4 linked regions of the Kluyveromyces lactis genome follow. The protein of the gene in region 1 purifies or fractionates together with the protein of each later gene. This does not show direct contact. Links are inferred from orthologs where the notes say so. Each region holds a gene or a part of one and is shown in the gene's direction. Other genes may lie near its edges.

Region 1 (4,868 bases):
TTCCATCAAACAAATGTTACAAATTGCTCATTTCGAGAATCAAATCGTGGATACTATGAACTCAAATCCTAGTAATATGAGCGGCCTTGTTGCCAATGAGGAAAAATTACCATTATTACACGTTTTGAACAGACAACTAAGCGAACTAGAGTTACAGCTTGATAATGTGAAATTAGATGATATCAGAAGATTCTTACTTCTCGTAACGAAGGTGCACTTGTTGACGCACTATTTTAGCAATGTTACCGATAATGTTGATCCAACTTCCGTCCAAAAAATATCTGTGAAAGACATGGAAACAAGCTTTGCAACTAAAAGAGGACTAGTAATAGCGTACAATGCAGCCGTAAAACTCTTGAAACATGCGAAATGTATGTGGAAACGGGATCCACTAGCTGTGAAATATCTTCCAGGTGTTTATGTTCTTAATATATGGCAGGCAGCATCAATAATATCAAAGCTAGTCCATTCCTCATTGGGCTCAATTATCGATGTCGATACTGGTCATGAAGTTTATCAAGATGCTGTATCATTAATTTCGAATGCTTCTGTCCTCAAGTACGATATGGCTTATAGATCAGCTGGTATTATGAGAAGTATATGGAGCATGTTCAGCAACATGTTCGAAGAGTGGAAAGCGAAGAAAGACCAAAGTTCCTCTTCAACACAGTCAGAAAAGGATTTTAACTTGAGTATTACCATAAGATCTAGAATGTCTGTGAGTGTTTTCTTTGACTGCTTGTTCATATTAAGACAGAAGTGCGGTATGGCAAAACTAAAGAGAGAAAGAGAAAAGACAGTCTCCTCTGATGATGAAAATAGTGGCGATAACCATAACGGAGATGCAGAGTCCAAAGAACTACTGCCCAACGATGGGTATTCCGAAGAACATGCCAGAAGGATTATATCTACCATTCCACTTGACCCAGAGCCCATCAATGCACAGCAGTCCAGTGGAAGCAATATTACATCTCCGAACGGTTCACATAGTAGTGACGTTTTGTCATTGAAATCAATCCTAAACAAAACGTCCCCAAAGGACGAGATTTTGCAGAAACAGAAAAATGGTACAATGCCATCTTCATCTTCCCCTAGCAACAATATCATAGTATCACCTACAAACACACATGCTGGTGCTTCCAATGTTGAAACTAGCGGTTATCCCAGATCTCTAAATCCTTTGAACGCCGTCACAGACAATAAACTCATAAACCATTCTACCACCGCCAAGAAAACGAACTCCCCACAATTTAGGGTTTCAAGTCCGTCAAATCATAGTAAACCGACTCGAAAGATCAATCCTGCTGCGCAGTCCTTAAATGAGTTGTTGGAGCCACCAATACCGCAATCCTTCCAGTCCGTTACAAAATCGATAATATCAGAAGGAACTGAAAACAGAAAGGAAGATACGCCCTCAATTTCTCCAGGTCTTACGGAAAGATGGGACAACTGGGAATCAGATCTTGTTTGGAAAGATGTCGACATTCTAATGAACGAATTCGCATTCAATCCGACGTTGTAATATTAAATTATTGGTTATATATTTCTATAAATACTTATTATAAGACGAATTAAATCATCGGTTAACAGATTGATACTGCGAAATGACACCAACTGCTAACCTGTCACTGGCGAGAAACCTAAGCAAAACCAGATGTCGTTATGCACATTTTCCAAGTACTTAAAACATAATCACGTGATCGAAAATACCACCAGATTTCTCTTTCTGTACGAAATCGTTACTTTGTATCGAAAATTTTTTTGAATTGTAAGAATGCCAAATTCGAAATCAGTTTCAACAGAATTGAGTAGATATATGTGGATATGATTAATCTCGATGAGTAATGAAGGTGTAAAGGTATAAAGATCTTGTTAGCAACCGAGTTTAATTCCAGAGAATAGAACGGCCAGGTGCAGTATTTGGGAAAGTATCAAAAAGGATATCTAGTGATAGTTTTTTCTGATTGTTTATAATACCTAAAGTTCAGGATGTCTGATTTGCAAAACCAAGAGCCAAGTATTGTCATCAATGGGGATCTTAATGATGAGCCAATAGATACATTTGAGGTTGAAGAAGAGGAGCAAGTTTTTGATGAAGTGAAGCCTAAGAAGACTGTTACTTTCAGTGGGATTGATGATGTGGAAGCGGATGAAGAACGTAGAAAGAGAGAATTTGAAGAAGGTGGTGGTCTTCCAGAGCAACCAACGAACCCAGATTTTTCCAAGTTGAACCCTCTATCACCAGAAATTATCAATAGACAAGCCACTATCAATATTGGTACTATCGGTCATGTCGCTCACGGTAAATCTACCGTTGTGAGAGCTATTTCAGGTGTTCAAACCGTTCGTTTCAAGGATGAATTAGAACGTAATATTACCATTAAATTAGGTTACGCCAATGCCAAAATCTATAAAGCAGAAGATCCAGAATGCCCAGAACCAGACTGTTATAAGTCTTTCAGATCTGACAAAGAAGTTGCACCAAAGGTTGATCTTCCAGGTTACAGTGGACGTTATAAACTAGTCCGTCATGTTTCCTTTGTCGATTGTCCTGGTCACGATATTTTAATGTCTACCATGTTGTCTGGTGCTGCCGTTATGGATGCAGCACTACTTCTAATCGCAGGTAACGAATCCTGTCCTCAACCACAAACCTCTGAACATTTGGCTGCTATCGAAATTATGAAGTTGAAGCACGTTATCATTTTACAGAACAAAGTCGATCTAATGAGAGAAGACTCTGCTCTGGAACATCAAAAATCTATTTTGAAATTTATTAGAGGTACCATCGCTGATGGTGCTCCAATCGTTCCAATCTCAGCCCAATTGAAATATAACATTGATGCTGTGAATGAATTCATCGTGAAAAGTATTCCTGTTCCTCAAAGAGACTTCTTAGCGTCTCCGAGATTGATTGTCATTCGTTCCTTTGATGTTAACAAGCCAGGTGCCGAAATCGAAGATTTGAAGGGTGGTGTTGCCGGTGGTTCCATTTTGACTGGTGTTTTCAAATTAGGCGATGAGATCGAAATTAGACCAGGTATCGTCACTAAAGATGATCATGGTAAGATTCAATGTAAGCCAATTTTCTCCAATATCGTTTCCCTATTTGCTGAACACAACGACCTAAAATTCGCCGTTCCAGGTGGTTTGATTGGTGTTGGTACTAAGGTCGATCCAACGTTATGTAGAGCAGATCGTCTAGTGGGTCAAGTCGTTGGTGCTAAGGGCCATTTGCCATCTATCTACACCGATATCGAAATTAACTACTTCCTATTGCGTCGTCTATTAGGTGTAAAGACCGATGGTCAAAAACAAGCAAAGGTTAGAAAGTTAGAGCCAAATGAAGTTTTAATGGTGAACATCGGTTCCACCGCTACTGGTGCCCGTGTGGTTGCCGTCAAAGCCGATATGGCAAGATTACAATTAACTTCCCCTGCATGTACAGAAGTTAATGAAAAGATTGCATTATCTAGACGTATCGAAAAGCATTGGCGTTTAATTGGTTGGGCTACTATCAAGAAGGGTACCACTCTTGAACCAATCGCTTAATCTGTAAATTAACTAAATGATTTTATATATGTCTATATGTATATATTGTCACATTAATGTTCCATTTTCTTGGTAGAAAAGGCCACATTCTTTTGCAAGATGAATATCTTTATTCTTCATGATGAAATGCCTAGGTTCTACTTGTTAGCAGTTATTAATGAAATTGCGTCCCTATACGATTCTGTTGCCAGGAATTTGGGCAAAGAGTCGTTCTTCATCATGATAAATACGGTATTTCTGATTTTTTCCAGTAACTGATACAAATCCTTCAACATTGATATAGCATGAATAATGACGTATGACTCAGTACCCTTATTAAGAGGTGTCGGCGCCAATGGCATTGACGTGTTACTATGGGATTGTACTTTATGCTCCACGCATTTCTTCCGGGCAGCAGGATCGAGGCTTAAGGGTCTATTAACAGATGCATCCGAAATGGCTCTTGAACAATTTTCCTTGCCTGAAGTGTCGAACGCAGTTTTAGTTGGAGACTGAGGGTGGAATATTATTCCAGTAATTGTTTCTCTAACGTTATGATCAATATTAAGTTGATACGGAGACCCCAGTGCAATATAAGAGGAGTAAATATGGTAAACCAGCGAAAGGCATTCGCTAGTTTGTTTTAAAAGAGCTGATTGAATTGTATCTTTCAGTTTAGTACTACCACCAGTTTTCCATTCCCTTAGATCCATCTTATTGTGTTCGCTCTGGTTTCGAGACTCAATGAGTTTTCGCAGAACCGACATTCTTTTTAAAAACTTCGTTATTTCAAAGTATACGTCTAGGTTTTCTGCACACATGTCTTTGCAAAGATGCTCTCTAAAAAGATATCGCATCCCAGGATCAGCCAGAATTTGTTTGAGAGACAGCAACTTTAAACCGTCAGGATTATAATTATCGTCCCCAGTACCTGAGCTCGAACTTGAATCCGAGCTTACATCATAGTTCGACACCATTACATTTTTGGTTCCAAAATCATGTCCGCTTTTGAGCTGAGAATTACCTGGGAGTGAACGACTGGAGAGTTTTACGCTGCAATTAACGCCGCCATAATTCTCAGTATCCGTTCCGATTTTAACCCCGTCCATGAAATGCGGAATCTTGGGTAGCCCATCTACTCCCCATTGAATTACGTCCCAACCGGCTTGGGTCAATGTATAGTGTGCTGTTTTTGAAATTAGAAACTTTTTCTTGCTGTTTTGACTGGGAGGTAATAAGATTGGTGTAATTAGGCCGTATTTCAGAAAGAGTGCTGCAACTGCAACACATTCTTTAGGGTACATTATATCAGTACATTCCATCAACCATTGCCAAAG
Region 2 (4,905 bases), on another chromosome or scaffold:
ATACATGTCATGACAAGAGATTTCCATAGTAAGAAATTAAAGCACAAAAAGCATTTCAACTCTTTCAACTCCCCGTTCTTTATACCATGGGATGAACTACCTGTGTTGGACTTGCCTGGTGACAAGGAGCTATCCGAAAGGTATATCAAGAACTTTGAGATGATATGCCCCTATTGTTCCACTAACTTCAAGAATCGGTTTGCAAAGCTTAAGGAGCATCTAGCAGATGAGTTTAATATGCGTTTCGTGTCAAAAAAAGGTTTAATAACTGCAGATAGGGCTATTTCATCGTTTAATAGATTTACTAATGATTCATAATTACGGCAACAATTTTAGCGCTTATACTATAGTGGTTGGTTTTTAATCTTAAAATTATGAATCTACTTGAGATGCCTAAACAAGTGTGTATATTCATTACAACTTTTGATATTCAAGCTTGCCTTCGAGCTTCTTGACTTCGGCAACCTTTCTCACGGCTTTCATTAGATCTTCCTGGTTTATATAATCGCGGTCGTCCCTGATAGCGAAGAACCCTGCTTCAGTTATACAGTTACGGATATCCGCACCGTTAAATCCATCACTCATCTTGACTGCAGCTTCAAAGTCAAATTCTCCAGCTTTTTTTACATTGGATGTATGAATCTTGAAGATTTCTAATCTTCCTGCCTCATTTGGTAAACTGATTTCGATTTTTCTGTCCAATCTACCAGGTCTTAGTAAAGCAGGATCTAAAGTGTCAGGTCTATTCGTAGCCATAATAACTTTCGTTTGTCCTAAGTTGTCGAAACCATCCATCTGAGTTAATAGTTCCATCAATGTACGTTGAATTTCACGATCTGCTGAGGTACCTTCGCTAAATCTACGTCCACCGATAGCATCTATTTCGTCCATAAAGATGATACAAGGTTCATGTTCTTTGGCGTATGCAAACATTTCTCTAATGATACGTGCTGATTCACCGATGTATTTATCTACAATACCGGATGCTGGGGAGAAGATAAAGTTGGCACCGATAGTTGCAGCAACTGCCTTAGCCAATAAAGTCTTACCAGTACCAGGAGGACCATATAGTAACACACCCTTAGGTGGTTTGATTCCCACTCTCTCGAAAATTTCTGGGTTCTTTAGTGGAAGCTCAATGACTTCTCTCAATTCTCTGATCTGTTCCGTAAGACCACCGATACCATCAAAAGAGATTTCACCTTGTTCAAAAGTGGTCATATTATAAACTAATGGGTCAGTTTCTCTAGGTAAAATTCTCATAATAGTTAATGTAGTAATATCAAGTGTGACTCTGACACCCTTCTTTAGCTTGGAACGATCAACGGAGTTCCTCACACCCACAATATAACGAGGACCTGATGACGCTTTTACAATGTATTTTTCCTCGGAAAGTTCCTTCATAACTTCCCCAATGAGTTGGCCAATCGACTGTAACGCCTTGATATCCTGTTCTGTTCTCTCATATTCTGCTTCTAGTACCCGTATGGTTTCTCTGCGTTGCTTCAACATATCGTCGTATCGTCTGTGTTCCATAAGTCTTTTCTTAAAATGTAACATCGCTTTTTCCTTTGCAGCCTGTTCTGGATCCACAGGCTCCACCGTTTCAGGTGCGGCAGCGTTATTTTCTCCCGAATTAGAGTTGGTACCAGCTCCGTTAGTGTCATCACCATCGTTTTCTTCCATTGCTGCTAGTAAAGGATCCTGTTCTTGAGACATCTTTAGTATTTATTCTGATCAGACTAGCTTAATCTTCCTATTCCTGCTTCTCAATATGAAAGGAGAAAAATCCCGTACCTTTATTCTGTCAGTATTCCTTCCTGGTTGGACTAGTACTGTTATAATGGATTGACTCAACTCAATTGGTTGGATTTGGCCTTTCTTACCTATTCTCTTCATTTGGACTATGGGTTACTAGATTGAATGGTGGCAAAAGCATTCGGAATCTACTAAATAGAAAGGGAGATCATTACGCACGATTTTGAAATTTTCAGGAATAAAGCTTTTCAATATAAGATGGAGTATTGACTAACCTAAGCATCACGTAGGATGATGACCTGCCACGGTACAGTTTGAAGATATATAGTGGGTTCTACGTTTTATTGATGCGTTGATCTCCAGATAAGACAGTTTAATATTCCCAGAATAGTACAGAACAATGGATTTTCAAGCTTTTATATTCTGTGGACGTGGTGCGAAGCTAACACCGTTTTCCAATGTTCGTGGAGACACTGGTGTTCCCAAAGCTCTATTGCCGGTTGCAAACCGCTCCATGATTGAGTTCGTACTAGATTGGTGTGAGCAAGCCCAATTTAAAGAGGTCAATCTAGTTATTGACGCATCCGATGCTGACGAATTAGAGGAAAGTTTGAAAAAATACCGTGAAGTGAGAGGGCATTATTTTGGACTGTTATCCCAAAGCGTTGGATCGAACCATGCTCACTATTTGAAAAAACCATCTCCTATTAATATTATACCCTCAAAATGTGAGAATACAGGAGAATGTCTGAAGAATGAATTGCTAGATAAGATAACTGGAGATTTCGTGTTGTTACCTTGTGATTTCATCACAGACATTCCACCACAGGTGTTTTTAGATCAGTATTTGAATAAAGATCCGGAGAATCTAGCTATGGCAGTATATTATCACAATGGGTTTGAGAATATCGATAAGAAGCATTTAAAGCAATTCCTGACTGTATACTCCGAGAATTTGGAGTCTGTTAGTAAGCCCGTTCTTCTAGACGTTTATTCCAAAGACGATGTGGACAAAACGAAATATTTACAAATCAGATCCCAAATGCTTTGGAGATATCCGAACTCCTCTGTATCCACAAAATTACTGAACTCCTTCATTTACTTTTGCTCTCATGAGTTAGTAAACCTATTGAAGGATGAAACCGAGAAAGGTGCTGGAGAATTAGACTCTGATTCGGAAGCCGTTGATTCTTTGGCCACATCATTCCAGAACACGTCTTTCTTGAAGGGAAAGAAGAAATTAATCAAAGATCCAATAAACTGTAATAAATCGCTAGGCAAGCTATTCAGGGATTTGTCTAGGCGTTCGTGGCAGCATGTGAAACCCAGAGAAACTATAGGTATCTTCGTGTTACCTGAAATCGGATTATTTATCAGATCAAACAGTTTGAGTGCATACATGGAATCCAATAGGTACGTTTTGAAGATTAAACAAACGGCGATTCAACAACGCACTACTGATGGTTCTTCTGCTATCGGTGCAGATTCTATGGTTGGTAACAATTGTGCAATTTTGGAGAAAACCAATATTAAACGTTCGGTCCTCGGTGACAATTGTAAAGTAGGAAAGCGATGCCGTATCGTTGGGTGTGTTGTGCTTGATAATGTTGAAATTGATGATGAAACCCAGCTAGAAAATGTCATCATCGGTAGAAATGCAAAAATCGGCAAGAAATCAAAGCTTACAAATTGTTATGTTGAGGGCTCTTATATTGTCAATGAAAAATCCACTCTCAAGGGTGAAACTTTGACAAGTATTTACATAGATGACGAAGATTACGCATCCTCTTTACTGGATTCAGATTCATCTGGATCCGAGTCTGATTACACTGATGAATATTATGACGATGAGGATTATGTTGATGATGGACTCTTCGACCGTTGAACTTCGGTAAATTATTATAAATAGAGTATTTTTGCATATATCATGATCAAATAGCCGTACCATGTGTACCTTAATAATTATAGAAATCTGATAACTAATCTTCTGAGCTTGTGTAAACTTCTTGAACGGATTTCTGAATATTTACAGTTTATGTTTACAAAATAATTGATGATTTTCGTTCTGAATTAAATACATAATAATAAATTACTATTCACAAGTAAGATTTTCCTGATGTTGAATGAATGTGTGAAATTATGCTGAGAGTTGTTTCTTATCTTCAAAGAGCCAGTCCCAACGGTCCTTTTTATGCAAAATTGCTAAAATCAATACTGCCGGCAAATGTAGTACACTGACCCAGAATGTTCTCCTCGCATAAACGTTGGCCATTGCCAACCCTTTGTTGAATTCTGTCTTGTTATTGTATATCTCCTTGGAGTAATTACGCTTTTGCTGGAAATAAAACTTGAATGCCCATAGTGACATCCAAGCATTAACAAATGCTGAATCCAATTGATAATACCAGTCGGTGACATTGAAGTATGAAAGACCAAAACATAATGGGAACATCAGAAGTGAGTATCGCAGAGCTACACGAGCATTAAGCTTTGGATTCTTCCATGCAGTCATGACGTATCCCGCGTTCTTGTACTCATTCCTGATGTTGTGACTTAACGTATTGAAATGTGGGAATTGCCATGCGTATAACAACCCAGCAAGACACCATGCACCAGGATGGGATAATGGAGAAGATGCAGCCCACCCCATTAGAGGAGGAATTGCACCGACAAGTGCTCCAACCCATGTGTTAATTATGTGTTTCCTTTTTAATGAAGTGTATAACCATGCATATAAAGCGATGTTGGAAAAACCAAGGAAGGCCACCGTTGGATTAACACCTAACCATAAAATAGATGTACCGAGGGTACCTGCCGCAGTAGCAAATTTGAATGCTTGATTTGGTGATACTATTCCTCTAACAACAGGTCTGGCCTGCGTTCTAATCATTTGACGATCGAAATCAGGCTCACGGCCCATATTTATGGCATTGGCAGATGCTGAACACAAGGTGGTACCCACAGTCAATGATAATAGTTGCAAGACTGTAGCTGGATATGGTGATAGTGCGTACGAACATATTGCGCTCAACATCACTAAAACTGTAAGTCTAGGTTTCGACAACTGTAGATAAGGCTCGATATATGTTTTCTTCAAAGAGACCTCGGGGCGAGGCTCTACTCTGGCCTTGGATTCCTTTATCTGCT
Region 3 (5,460 bases), on another chromosome or scaffold:
AGACAGGCAATGATTTGATTGAAGAGGGGAACAAGAACGACCTCGTTGATCCTCTAGAAGACTCAAATGCGATGCCAAATCTACTTCCAAGTCAAAGTTCTAGGAGAACTATTCATCAACATAAGAGCCATCATCATCGACGTCATACTCATCACTCAGTGAATCCACCTATCAACAACACACAGGTAGTGAAGCATTTCTTCCAACAAGACGAAGGCGGTATTAGAGCCTCAGATCAATTCAACAATGACTTAAACCAAATATATTTCGTAGGAATTATTGATTGTTTGACGAACTACTCGATGCTCAAGAGAATGGAAACACTTTGGAGAAGTATGAATCACGATTTGAAAGTGGTAAGTGCTGTTCCACCCAAAGTTTACGGCGACAGATTTTACCATTTCATTGAAAATTCAGTTAATAAACATTACGACGAAAATCAACAACAGCCAGGATATCACGACTGATATCTGACAAGCTGCTGCTCAAATTATTCTCTAATACAATTAAAAATGACGTATTTCAAATTTACTTCATGGGCTGTCAAATCTTTACCTAAACCAAATCTTATACGTACGCCATACGGACCCTACACTTCCAGAAATTCTTCCACTATTTGATTTAGTTACTATAATTCTTTTCTCTACTTATCCATATTAAGATAGAATGTGTTAATCAATGTGTGCACTTACATAATTAAACTTACGTTTCGTACTAAACTTAATATCTGTCGCACTGCTTTCATGCTTATTGTTTAAAAGCAAAGCAAAAAAAAAACCCAAAAATCAAAAAAAAATGTCGAATAGCGGAAGCCTCATGGAAATGGCAGTGATAACAAAAATATCACTTAAAGCAGTTAAAAATAAGGTACAACAATTACGTCGACTCCACATACAAAATATATATAAGCAAGAACTCGATCCATCATTTACTCGGACTGTATATTGTTGATATTTTTTTTTTGATATATAATGTCACTTGAAGCATGTTGGGTTTTAATTGTATAAGTTCTTTGCCAACTCCACTCAAGTGAATCAATAGGTCTGTTGTGTTAGCCGTACTGTTCTAATACCAATAGGAAACTGAAAGACCCTATTCTGAAGAACTATCACTAAAAAAATTAATACTATGAGAAATCACAACCAGCCACAGCAAGGCTACTACGCCCAACAACAGCCTGTGTATGTACAGCAACCTCCTCCGAGAGAACGTTCCAGCTGCCTAGGAACATGCTGTAAATGTTTGTTATGTTGGTGTTTGATTGATACTCTATGTAATGTTTGCTGCTAGGTAAATTTTATAATAAACCTCTAAATAGGAATGATATTCTAAACAAAAGTTCAAAGAACCTCTGCTAATTCAATTAATGGTTTATTGAAGGGCCAATTGTGTGTTCATTATGGTTCAAGGTATGCCTTCTTTTGGTAAAAAAAATTATTGGTTCGCAGAATATAAACATCAACAAAAGCAAATAAGACATCATTGAAGCCCCTGTAGCTCAGTGGTTTAGAGCATCGTGCTTATAGTGTGACTCCAATCAATATGGAACATTCTATGAAAATTGGCCCTTCAAAAGGTCGTTTCAAAGCAACGCGATAGTCGTGGGTTCAAACCCCACCAGGGGCATCTATTTTTTTCTCATATTTCAACTATCTTTTTTTTATGGGTTACTATGATGATTCTGATTTTTACACAGAAATTCACGCAGAGCGTTGTATCTGAAATTTTTTTCTTGTCTTGGTTCTTCCTTATTTTCAAATTGAAAGTGAGAAATGACATGAAATTTGAATATTGAACAATCAATTAATTACATATTACACATGATGATGAGTTTATCGAGAAGAGAAAATCATCCAACTTTATCGCTCTGGAAACGCTTAGTCTTTTGGTTAGAACGGGGAAAAAGGTACCCTGTTTATTAATAGTATACTTGTACTCATTTAAGCTTTTTTTGTTTCCAGAGTTTCCCGTAATTTACAATCGAAAGATGAGTGGAAAGAAGACCAAATCTGGTAAAGCCAATCAGAATAAGAAACAAGAGGTTGTTCAAGATGAACGTTTACAAGCGATTGTTTTGACTGACTCGTTTGAGACTAGGTTTATGCCTTTGACTTCGGTGAAACCAAGATGTTTGTTGCCGTTGGCCAACATTCCCTTGATTGAATATACTTTGGAGTTCTTAGCTAAGGCCGGAGTCAACGAAGTTTATCTGATTTGTGCATCGCATGGTGAACAGATCCAGGAATATATCGATCAGTCCAAATGGAGTTTACCATGGGCTCCGTTTAAGGTGAATACCATCATGTCGCTAGAGTCCAGATCTGTTGGAGATGCAATGAGAGATGTCGATAACCGTGGGCTAATTACCGGTGATTTCGTACTTGTTAGTGGTGATTTGGTGACTAATATGGACTTTGAAAAGGCTTTAGATATTCATAAACAAAGGAGAAAGGCTGATAAGGATCATATTGTCACTATGTGCCTAAGTAAAGCGACTCAGTTTCATAAGACAAGGTCTCATGAACCAGCAACGTTCATTTTTGATAAGTCTAATGATAGATGTATTTACTACCAGGATATCCCATTGGCTAGCTCTAGAGAAAAAACTACCATTGATATTGATCCTGAACTTCTGGAAGGTGTTGACGAGTTTGTGTTACGCAACGATTTGATTGATTGCCATGTAGATATCTGTTCTCCTCATGTCCCTGCTATTTTCCAAGAGAATTTCGATTACCAATTCTTGAGAAGAGATTTTGTTAGAGGTGTGCTTTCTAGTGATTTGTTGAAGAAACATATCTACGGGTACATTACCGACGAATACACCACTAGAGCAGAAAGTTGGCAAACGTATGATGCTATCTCGCAAGATTTTATTGCTAGATGGTGTTACCCATTGGTTCTTAATGCCAACCTTTTAAAGGGCCAAACTTATTCATACGAAAGCCAACACATTTATAAGGAAAAAGACGTGGTATTAGCGCAGTCCTGTAAGATAAAGAAAAACACGGCCATCGGCTCAGGATCCAAGATTGGAGAAGGTACAGTCATTGAAAATAGTGTTGTTGGTAGAAATTGTAAAATTGGCTCAAACATCAGAATCAAAAACAGTTACATTTGGGACAATGTTGTCATTGATGATAACACTACAATTGAGCACTCTTTAGTTGCTTCAGATGTTAAATTAGGATCAAACGTCACCTTGAATGATGGTTCCATTATCGGATTCAATGTAGTGATTGACGATAATGTTACAATCCCAGTTGGAACCAAGATTTCAGCGGTTCCAGTACAGAGGAACACAGCTCAATTCTTAGATACAGCACATAATCTTTCTTCCAGCGATGAGGACGAAGAAGGAAGCACATTCACCAGAAATTCATCTTCTTTATCAATCAGTAATTCCGATGAAGTTGCCGATGCGAAGATTAAACTATCTAAGCAGTTGGTTGGGCCAAACGGGAGAGGCGTACTATACGAAAGTGATGATGAGGATGAAGATGAAGATGGATCGACCGAAAAGGGTATTGCGAACACATTAACGTACAGAGACGATGACATTTATTTATCGGATACTTCCATATCATCCATCACTCAAAAACATAGAAAGAGGAGAACCATGTCGATGACTAGTATCTATACTGATTACGAAGGAGAAGAAGACGAAGAAGAAGATTTCGAAAAAGAAGCCATCGCAACAGTTGAAAGAGCTATAGAGAACAACCACGATTTAGACACATCAATGCTTGAACTAAACACTTTGAGAATGAGTATGAACGTCACTTATCATGAAGTCAGGAATGCTTCTGTTATCGCTATATTCAGAAGAGTTTACCACTTTGTAGCCACACAAACACTAGGTCCAAAGGACGCTGTCACTAAAGTCTTACAACAATGGGGTCCTGTGTTTAAGAGACAAGCATTTGATAGTGATGAGTTCATTGATCTAATGAATATCATTCTGGATCGTGTGCTAGATCAGAAATTCGATAAACCAGATTTCATTCTATTCCATGTATATAATGTCTTGTATGATTTGGATATCTTAGAGGAAGATGTCATTTACAAATGGTGGGACTCTGTAAGCGGTGATTCAAAATACAGCGAAGTTACTGCTCTACTGGCCAAATGGGTGGACTGGCTAAAGACTGCAGATGAAGAATCATCTGATGAAGAAGACAGTGACGAAGACGAATAAGTCAATAACGTCATAAATGCCCTTTGAATTTTCATGGTTCCTCCGAAGTTCAAGATTGGTCAATATCAATCAATATAATGTAGCATGTAGCATTTCGAGTAAACGTGAGATAACCATATGCAAAGTAATCTATAGACAAATATACGTACGCATTTCAAGGCTAGTGTCCTCACTACCGGACTGCCAACCGCCTATGCGGTCTTCCTGTATTCTATATGGGAGAGTTTGACTGAAAATAATTCAAGTCACGTTACAACGTTACCCTAACTTCCTTATCTATTAACATATTCCCATTTCAAAATTGAAATAACAGAACAGGAGGACGAAGATATGTATGTGATGAAGGAGAGTAGTCAGACAAATTGGATGTTAGACATAGCACAGTCAGCCGGAAGTAACACCGTAAAGGCCTGCAGTGATAGTAGTATAAAAGCAAGGAAGAAAGGAATTTAAAACATGCAAACTCTTAAGTGTGTTGTTATAGGTGATGGTGCTGTCGGTAAGACGTGTCTTCTAATTTCATACACAACTAACCAGTTTCCAGCCGACTACGTTCCAACCGTTTTCGACAATTATGCTGTTACGGTGATGATTGGCGATGAGCCATACACGCTAGGTCTTTTCGATACAGCTGGTCAAGAAGATTATGATAGATTAAGACCGTTATCATACCCATCAACAGACGTGTTCTTGGTTTGTTTCAGTGTTATATCTCCTCCTTCTTTTGAGAACGTAAAAGAAAAATGGTTCCCAGAAGTACATCATCATTGTCCTGGTGTTCCATGTTTGATTGTGGGTACTCAGATAGATTTAAGAGATGATAAAGTGATTATTGAAAAACTACAGAGACAAAGGCTTCGTCCTATCACTCCAGAGCAAGGTGAAAGGTTAGCCAGAGAGCTTAGAGCCGTAAAATATGTTGAATGTTCGGCTCTTACCCAGCGTGGTTTGAAAAACGTTTTCGACGAAGCTATTGTTGCTGCTCTGGAACCTCCAGTCATTAAAAAGAGTAAAAAATGTATTATATTGTGAAAAGTGATCGGCCTTGTATTTTTTTTTTTTATTACCAGTACATGTATCAGGTAAGAAGTTTCTCACTCAAGGATGAGCGTTCTTAACAATCTTCCCGTTCACCATCAAGTCCAGTTTTATATTTATAGATGATTGTGAGATAGAGAGTGTGTTTCCAAGTTTTTGCAGGTTCAAAAGAGAAAAAAAGCTCTACCCCCCATCTCCAGAAAAAGCGTTACATTTCACTAAAC
Region 4 (5,190 bases), on another chromosome or scaffold:
ATAAGCTGTTTCGGCAGCGTTTTGGATATCAGTCTTTCGAGACACAATTCCTGGTGCTTCAAATATGCGTATCGGACTTCTGCGGACATTTCTGGTCTCTCAAGCCATATTTGACTTCTCCATTTTTCAATATTGCCATCCACATCCTCATAAACATTGAAACTTTCCCTCAAACAGCCGTTTACTTCAATTTCTTCTCGAAATATGTCTGCCACCTTGCTGTGTAACGTCGTCTCATCGCTGGTTACACCATTGGCTTCAAGAGTAATTTTCTCGAGATACTCTTGATATCCCAACTCAGTATTCATTTTCAGTACAGAGTTCATGTTTGGTCTGGTTATTTAGTCTTTTCGGAGCTGGAATTAGCGAAGAGTGTTTCTTAGAACAGCTTATCGATGATTGCAATTAAGCATAAGTGCCCCAATGTCTTTATGCATAGACAGGTTTTTAATATGGTTTTTGATATCATCTTGTACGTGTTGAAAAATTTCATGTTTTCAACATTTCTATGTAGAGCGGAAACTAGCCAGAGGAAAGCTTGAAGATTGAATCACCACATCACAGTAGAAAAACACGCTTCATCAGCTGCAATCATTGGGATAACTCATCGGTTATTGGCAGAGGTAACACAATTAATACTCTGATTTGGTTGAAAAAGCCAGCGGTAGGAACAAAGGTCTGATTTTAATCCTCATATAACAGTCAAAGCAGCGAATGTTCTCTCGGTTTTTCACAAGATCGGTTTCAACTGGTGTAGAGTCTCGTGCGGTCTTTGACAACTTCTTACAATTTGTCAAGACACCACAGACTCTAAGACCATACATCTACCGCAAAAAGAATGCTAACCGTTTGTTGGCCATGGATTTGAAAGATCCAGAAACTAAACTTCCTATTCAACCTAGACCATCAGTGTTAAGACCAAGTGCATCAGTTCTCAATAGCGTCATATTGAACGCATCGTCAGCTGAAGAGTTGGAAAACATGGTTAGAGATTGGAAGAATATCACACCTAGAAGGAAAGAGTTCTGGAGTTATTTGATTCCCCAGCATCTACAAAACATGTTGTTAACTTCCACTTTCAAGTTTGGTGCTTTAGGAGCAGTTTTGAATGTTCTGTACCAAATACAGCCATTATTGGTGAAAGCAAAGCAATTAGAAGCCTATAACGTAGATGTATGGTATAATACTGTATTGATGTGTCAATTGCATAGAAATGCGTTCCAAAACGTTCAAGATTCCGGCATGGTAGAGAGAGGCCTAAGGAAGTTATCATCGACTGTTACCAAAAGAGAAGATACAACTGGTTTAACAAAGGAAATTGTTCAAGCTTTGGGTAGACAACAGAACGTTGAGGTGAAATTACCTAATTTCGCTAGAAATATTGAAATTAACTTGCCATCGATCGATGTTAGCACTGCAAGCCAAAATCAATTAAGGACTTTCTTGACAAAGAACACCACCCAGTATTTGTTGAGCAGAACAGCATTAGACTTCGGCTCAACTGAAGCTAAGCTGCAACAGTTTGTTGAAAACTATCAAGCCGTTTTAGCGCAAAACTCGGTTGCTGACATTTACGACAAATACGTATCCCAATACAAACAGCTGTTAACTCAAAAGGCTACTGAATCTGAAACGACAGAAGAAGCTCATGCAGATGCACAAGCAGAAGAAACGAAATAAAGGATAGACTTATCCGTAACCAATATTTCCCAGAACCGTTCATGTATATATATATAAGAATCAACGTCAGTTAAGAATATTACTAGAAATTCAAAAAACATTAACAAAATGACCATAATTCATAAAGAAACTCACACAATATACTTCTATTATATAATTATTGATGTGCCGTCACGGATTCATCGCAAATTGAGTAAATGTTCGTCAATTAGCGCCTGGTACCATGTCACTCCCGCTAGCCAACTCGGGCACTGAGTTTGTTCGATCTGCAAGGAAATCACCGTCAACGAGTTTTCCATCATTCTTTTTAAGAATTTCAATTTTGGTGAAATTATTCAAAAGCTGACATAAATACCAATCGATGATCTCGCAGTTCCTGTGATCCAACGGAAATCTATTGGCAAATAACGGTATACTTTGAGGTATCAAATCACCAATAATGACAGGAGGAGCTAAGGAGGCTTCAGGGAAAGAAACTAATACTGAAAAGACGGCAAATGCACAAGAAGGAGAAAAACCTTTATCTAATAAAGAGTTGAAGGAACTGAAAAAGAAGGAGAAGGCTGCAAAGAGAGCAGCCAGTAAGCAAGCTAGTGGTATCTCTATTGAAAAACAGCAGCAGCAAGCTGCTGCTAAGCGTGAAAAGAAGCAGCAACAAAGAGATCTCTTAGCTGCAAAAAAGAATAAAGCAGCCGACCCGGTCAAACATGATACCAAGAAGTCGACTCTATTTGGTCATCTAGAGACTGCTGAAGAAAGAAGAGCTTCTTTACTTGCAGTTTCGAGTGCTATCACTTCTACAGGTACCTCAAGGATTACTGCTAATGGGTTAGTATTGCCTTTACTTGCTACTACACCCGCGGTTGCGGTTTCCCAACCAATGTCTGCATCTCCTTTGAGTTCAAACCTTTCTGGAAGCAATACTAATTTGGCAGGTTTGGCTCATTCAGAAGATTTTGAAGCCCATCAAATGCTAAATTCCTTGTCCCTTGATGAATCGTCTTCATTTGTCCCAGGAATATCATCCGTCATTCCAAATACCATGACTTCACAATTTACAAATCAACAATCGATTGCCTCTGTAAAAGAATTGATTGCCAATCGCGAAATGTTACATCCCGCTATCACCTCTCTGACTTTGGATTATGCATTCTATAAAATTATAGGTTCCATTCCTCGTTGTATTGCCATGTTAGAGGCATTCCAACTGGTTGTCAGAGACTACAAGACTCCAGAAGGTACTACTCTTTCACGTAATTTGACAAGTTACCTGTCCCATCAAATTGATTTCTTGAAGAAGTCAAGACCATTGAGTGTAACCATGGGTAATGCCATTAGATGGTTGAAGCAAGAAATCTCTCTAATCGATCCTTCAACACCGGATTCAAAGGCCAAAAAAGAACTTTGTGATAAGATTGCACAGTTCGCTAGAGAAAGAGTGCAGTTGGCTGATCAACTTATCATTGAAACAGCTTCACAACATATTGAAGAAGGCAGCACTATATTGACCTATGGCTGTTCCAAGGTTTTAACTGATTTATTCCTACACAACGCCATAAATTTCGGTAAGAACTTCCAAATTGTTATAGTGGACAGTAGACCTTTGTTTGAGGGTCGTAAAATGGCAGAATCTTTGAGAAATCAAGGTCTTAATGTTTTGTATGTTCCCATTACAGCATTGGGTACCGTATTCAATATGGATATCAAATATGTGTTTTTGGGAGCGCATTCGATTCTTTCAAATGGTTTCCTATATTCAAGAGTCGGTACTGCTCAGATCGCTATGTTGGCAAGCAGAAGAAATATTCCTGTACTTGTATGCTGTGAGTCTTTAAAGTTCTCTCAAAGGGTACAGCTTGATAGTGTCACATCTAATGAACTTGCTGATCCAAACGATTTGGTAACCATTGACTCTGCTAATCCTGTACAGAGACGTAACAACAATGGGTTCTTATTACAGCAATTTATCAAAGAGCGTGAAGCGCAGCAGAAGGAAGTCGAGAATAGCTCTAAGCAAAATAATAAATCTGGCAGTGCTAATACCAATAATGCTACTGCCGACGAAGGTAAGAATGTCAAGGATAAACCAATACTAGCAGAGTGGGAGAAATCACCTAATTTGCACATCTTCAATATAATGTACGATTTAACACCCCCTGACTACATCAAGAAGATCATTACAGAATTTGGTTCGTTGCCACCATCTTCTGTTCCCGTGGTTCTTAGAGAATACAAAGCATCAGCTTGAATGGAGCCCTTTGCATATATAATATACGATAATATCATATAATATAGTAAATGAAAAATTAGTATAGATCTTCTTTTTTATTAATTGCGTAGTAATATTCAACATCGTAGGTTGTTTACTTAGGTATCGGCTTCATCGAGGATATTGCTATATATATGTACAAGTTAAGCTATGATCTCGATATTACCATTCACAAGTCATTTTTTCGATTCAAACCTTGTGTCTGATGGCTGGGCTTAAATGTAGTGGAGACCAGATACCTCTCACACTATCGTTCAAAGTATCCACATTGTCGTTCTTAGTTCTGTGACGGAGTTGCTCACCAGATGCGTCTCTGATTAGTTTTAACTTATTCTCTACATTATCAATGTTCAGATTTTTTACGCAGATGGCTTTATTACGGCCATTAACATAGTCACCTTTTATAACTGGATGGCCAGACTTTCTTACTATTTCGAACTGTATTGTTGGATATTTTTCAGCCCATTGAATCATTCTGTTAGACGTTAGGAAATCTCTCAAACCCTGTGAGGAACCACCCCAATTACAGTATTGCAAAGTGATCTTTTTACATGGAAGCACAAAAGCGCCAACACCATTTCTTGCGATAGAAGTTTGTCTCAAAACTTTAACAACCATTACTTCAGAGAAATCTTTATGACCGCGGGTACCAGCTCTGATTAGAAAACAAGTTGGGTGTATTTTGAAACTGTGGAGAGATCCTTCAGATGCAGAACATAGATTCACTAATATATCTTTTGAGTTTTATTCGAGTTTTCAGTTCATGATTATTTTTTTCCAATTTCAAAAGACCATCAGTCACGTGAACAAATCTGTATGTATTCGAAGGTAGGAGGACAATTCACCACATGCTCACACAAATGAAAAAGATACTGGTACCAACACTGCTATAAGGTGACGAATGTAAATAATACAGAACCTCTTTCCGACTATATTCTGTTTCTTTCACATTGCTATGTCAACACATCCTCATGAGATGTCATACGTCATGTAAACTTGATGATCTGTCGATGGGTTATGACAATAATGCACTACCAGCGTTTGGTTAAGGGTACTTTTACTGAGCAAATCCATAGAAAGTACGATAGAGGCCCCAGATTCTGATCCAAGATGTCCCAAAGGCTTCATATGAGGTTAATTAAATAAAGGGCCTGATTTGCGTTCACCCATGGAATGTACGGATTGACACCTAGCGTATGTTGGATGCACACTAGTAATTTGTTAAAAAAATTATGCACATG

The links. Proteins that work in one complex are often made in the same cells at the same time.
Region 2: the proteins of GCD11 (region 1) and GCD1 purify together in Saccharomyces cerevisiae (affinity purification with mass spectrometry; 9 studies listed by BioGRID, with this or other methods). This does not show direct contact. The link is inferred for Kluyveromyces lactis from reciprocal best matches to the Saccharomyces cerevisiae genes GCD11 and GCD1.
Region 3: the proteins of GCD11 (region 1) and GCD6 purify together in Saccharomyces cerevisiae (affinity purification with mass spectrometry; 8 studies listed by BioGRID, with this or other methods). This does not show direct contact. The link is inferred for Kluyveromyces lactis from reciprocal best matches to the Saccharomyces cerevisiae genes GCD11 and GCD6.
Region 4: the proteins of GCD11 (region 1) and GCD2 purify together in Saccharomyces cerevisiae (affinity purification with mass spectrometry; 5 studies listed by BioGRID, with this or other methods). This does not show direct contact. The link is inferred for Kluyveromyces lactis from reciprocal best matches to the Saccharomyces cerevisiae genes GCD11 and GCD2.

Annotation. Positions count from the first base shown.
Region 1 is NC_006040.1:896,980-901,847, reverse strand, and holds GCD11 (translation initiation factor eIF2 subunit gamma), read left to right. Parts: upstream 1-1,989; coding exon 1,990-3,552; downstream 3,553-4,868. Other genes in the region: leucine-responsive transcriptional regulator LEU3, read left to right, coding at 1-1,522; GTPase-activating protein SST2, read right to left, coding at 3,690-4,868. UniProt on the Saccharomyces cerevisiae protein: As a subunit of eukaryotic initiation factor 2 eIF2, involved in the early steps of protein synthesis.
Region 2 is NC_006039.1:829,875-834,779, reverse strand, and holds GCD1 (translation initiation factor eIF2B subunit gamma), read left to right. Parts: upstream 1-2,158; coding exon 2,159-3,643; downstream 3,644-4,905. Other genes in the region: HNT3 (DNA 5'-adenosine monophosphate hydrolase), read left to right, coding at 1-318; proteasome regulatory particle base subunit RPT4, read right to left, coding at 415-1,719; COX10 (protoheme IX farnesyltransferase), read right to left, coding at 3,896-4,905. UniProt on the Saccharomyces cerevisiae protein: Acts as a component of the translation initiation factor 2B (eIF2B) complex, which catalyzes the exchange of GDP for GTP on the eukaryotic initiation factor 2 (eIF2) complex gamma subunit.
Region 3 is NC_006037.1:382,013-387,472, reverse strand, and holds GCD6 (translation initiation factor eIF2B catalytic subunit epsilon), read left to right. Parts: upstream 1-1,987; coding exon 1,988-4,198; downstream 4,199-5,460. Other genes in the region: MSS4 (1-phosphatidylinositol-4-phosphate 5-kinase), read left to right, coding at 1-467; Rho family GTPase CDC42, read left to right, coding at 4,655-5,230. UniProt on the Saccharomyces cerevisiae protein: Acts as a catalytic component of the translation initiation factor 2B (eIF2B) complex, which catalyzes the exchange of GDP for GTP on eukaryotic initiation factor 2 (eIF2) and is regulated by phosphorylated eIF2.
Region 4 is NC_006042.1:773,006-778,195, forward strand, and holds GCD2 (translation initiation factor eIF2B subunit delta), read left to right. Parts: upstream 1-2,119; coding exon 2,120-3,928; downstream 3,929-5,190. Other genes in the region: KLLA0_F08283g (uncharacterized protein), read right to left, coding at 1-326; mitochondrial 37S ribosomal protein mS44 MRP13, read left to right, coding at 715-1,680; MRPL51 (mitochondrial 54S ribosomal protein mL43), read right to left, coding at 4,139-4,567. UniProt on the Saccharomyces cerevisiae protein: Acts as a component of the translation initiation factor 2B (eIF2B) complex, which catalyzes the exchange of GDP for GTP on the eukaryotic initiation factor 2 (eIF2) complex gamma subunit.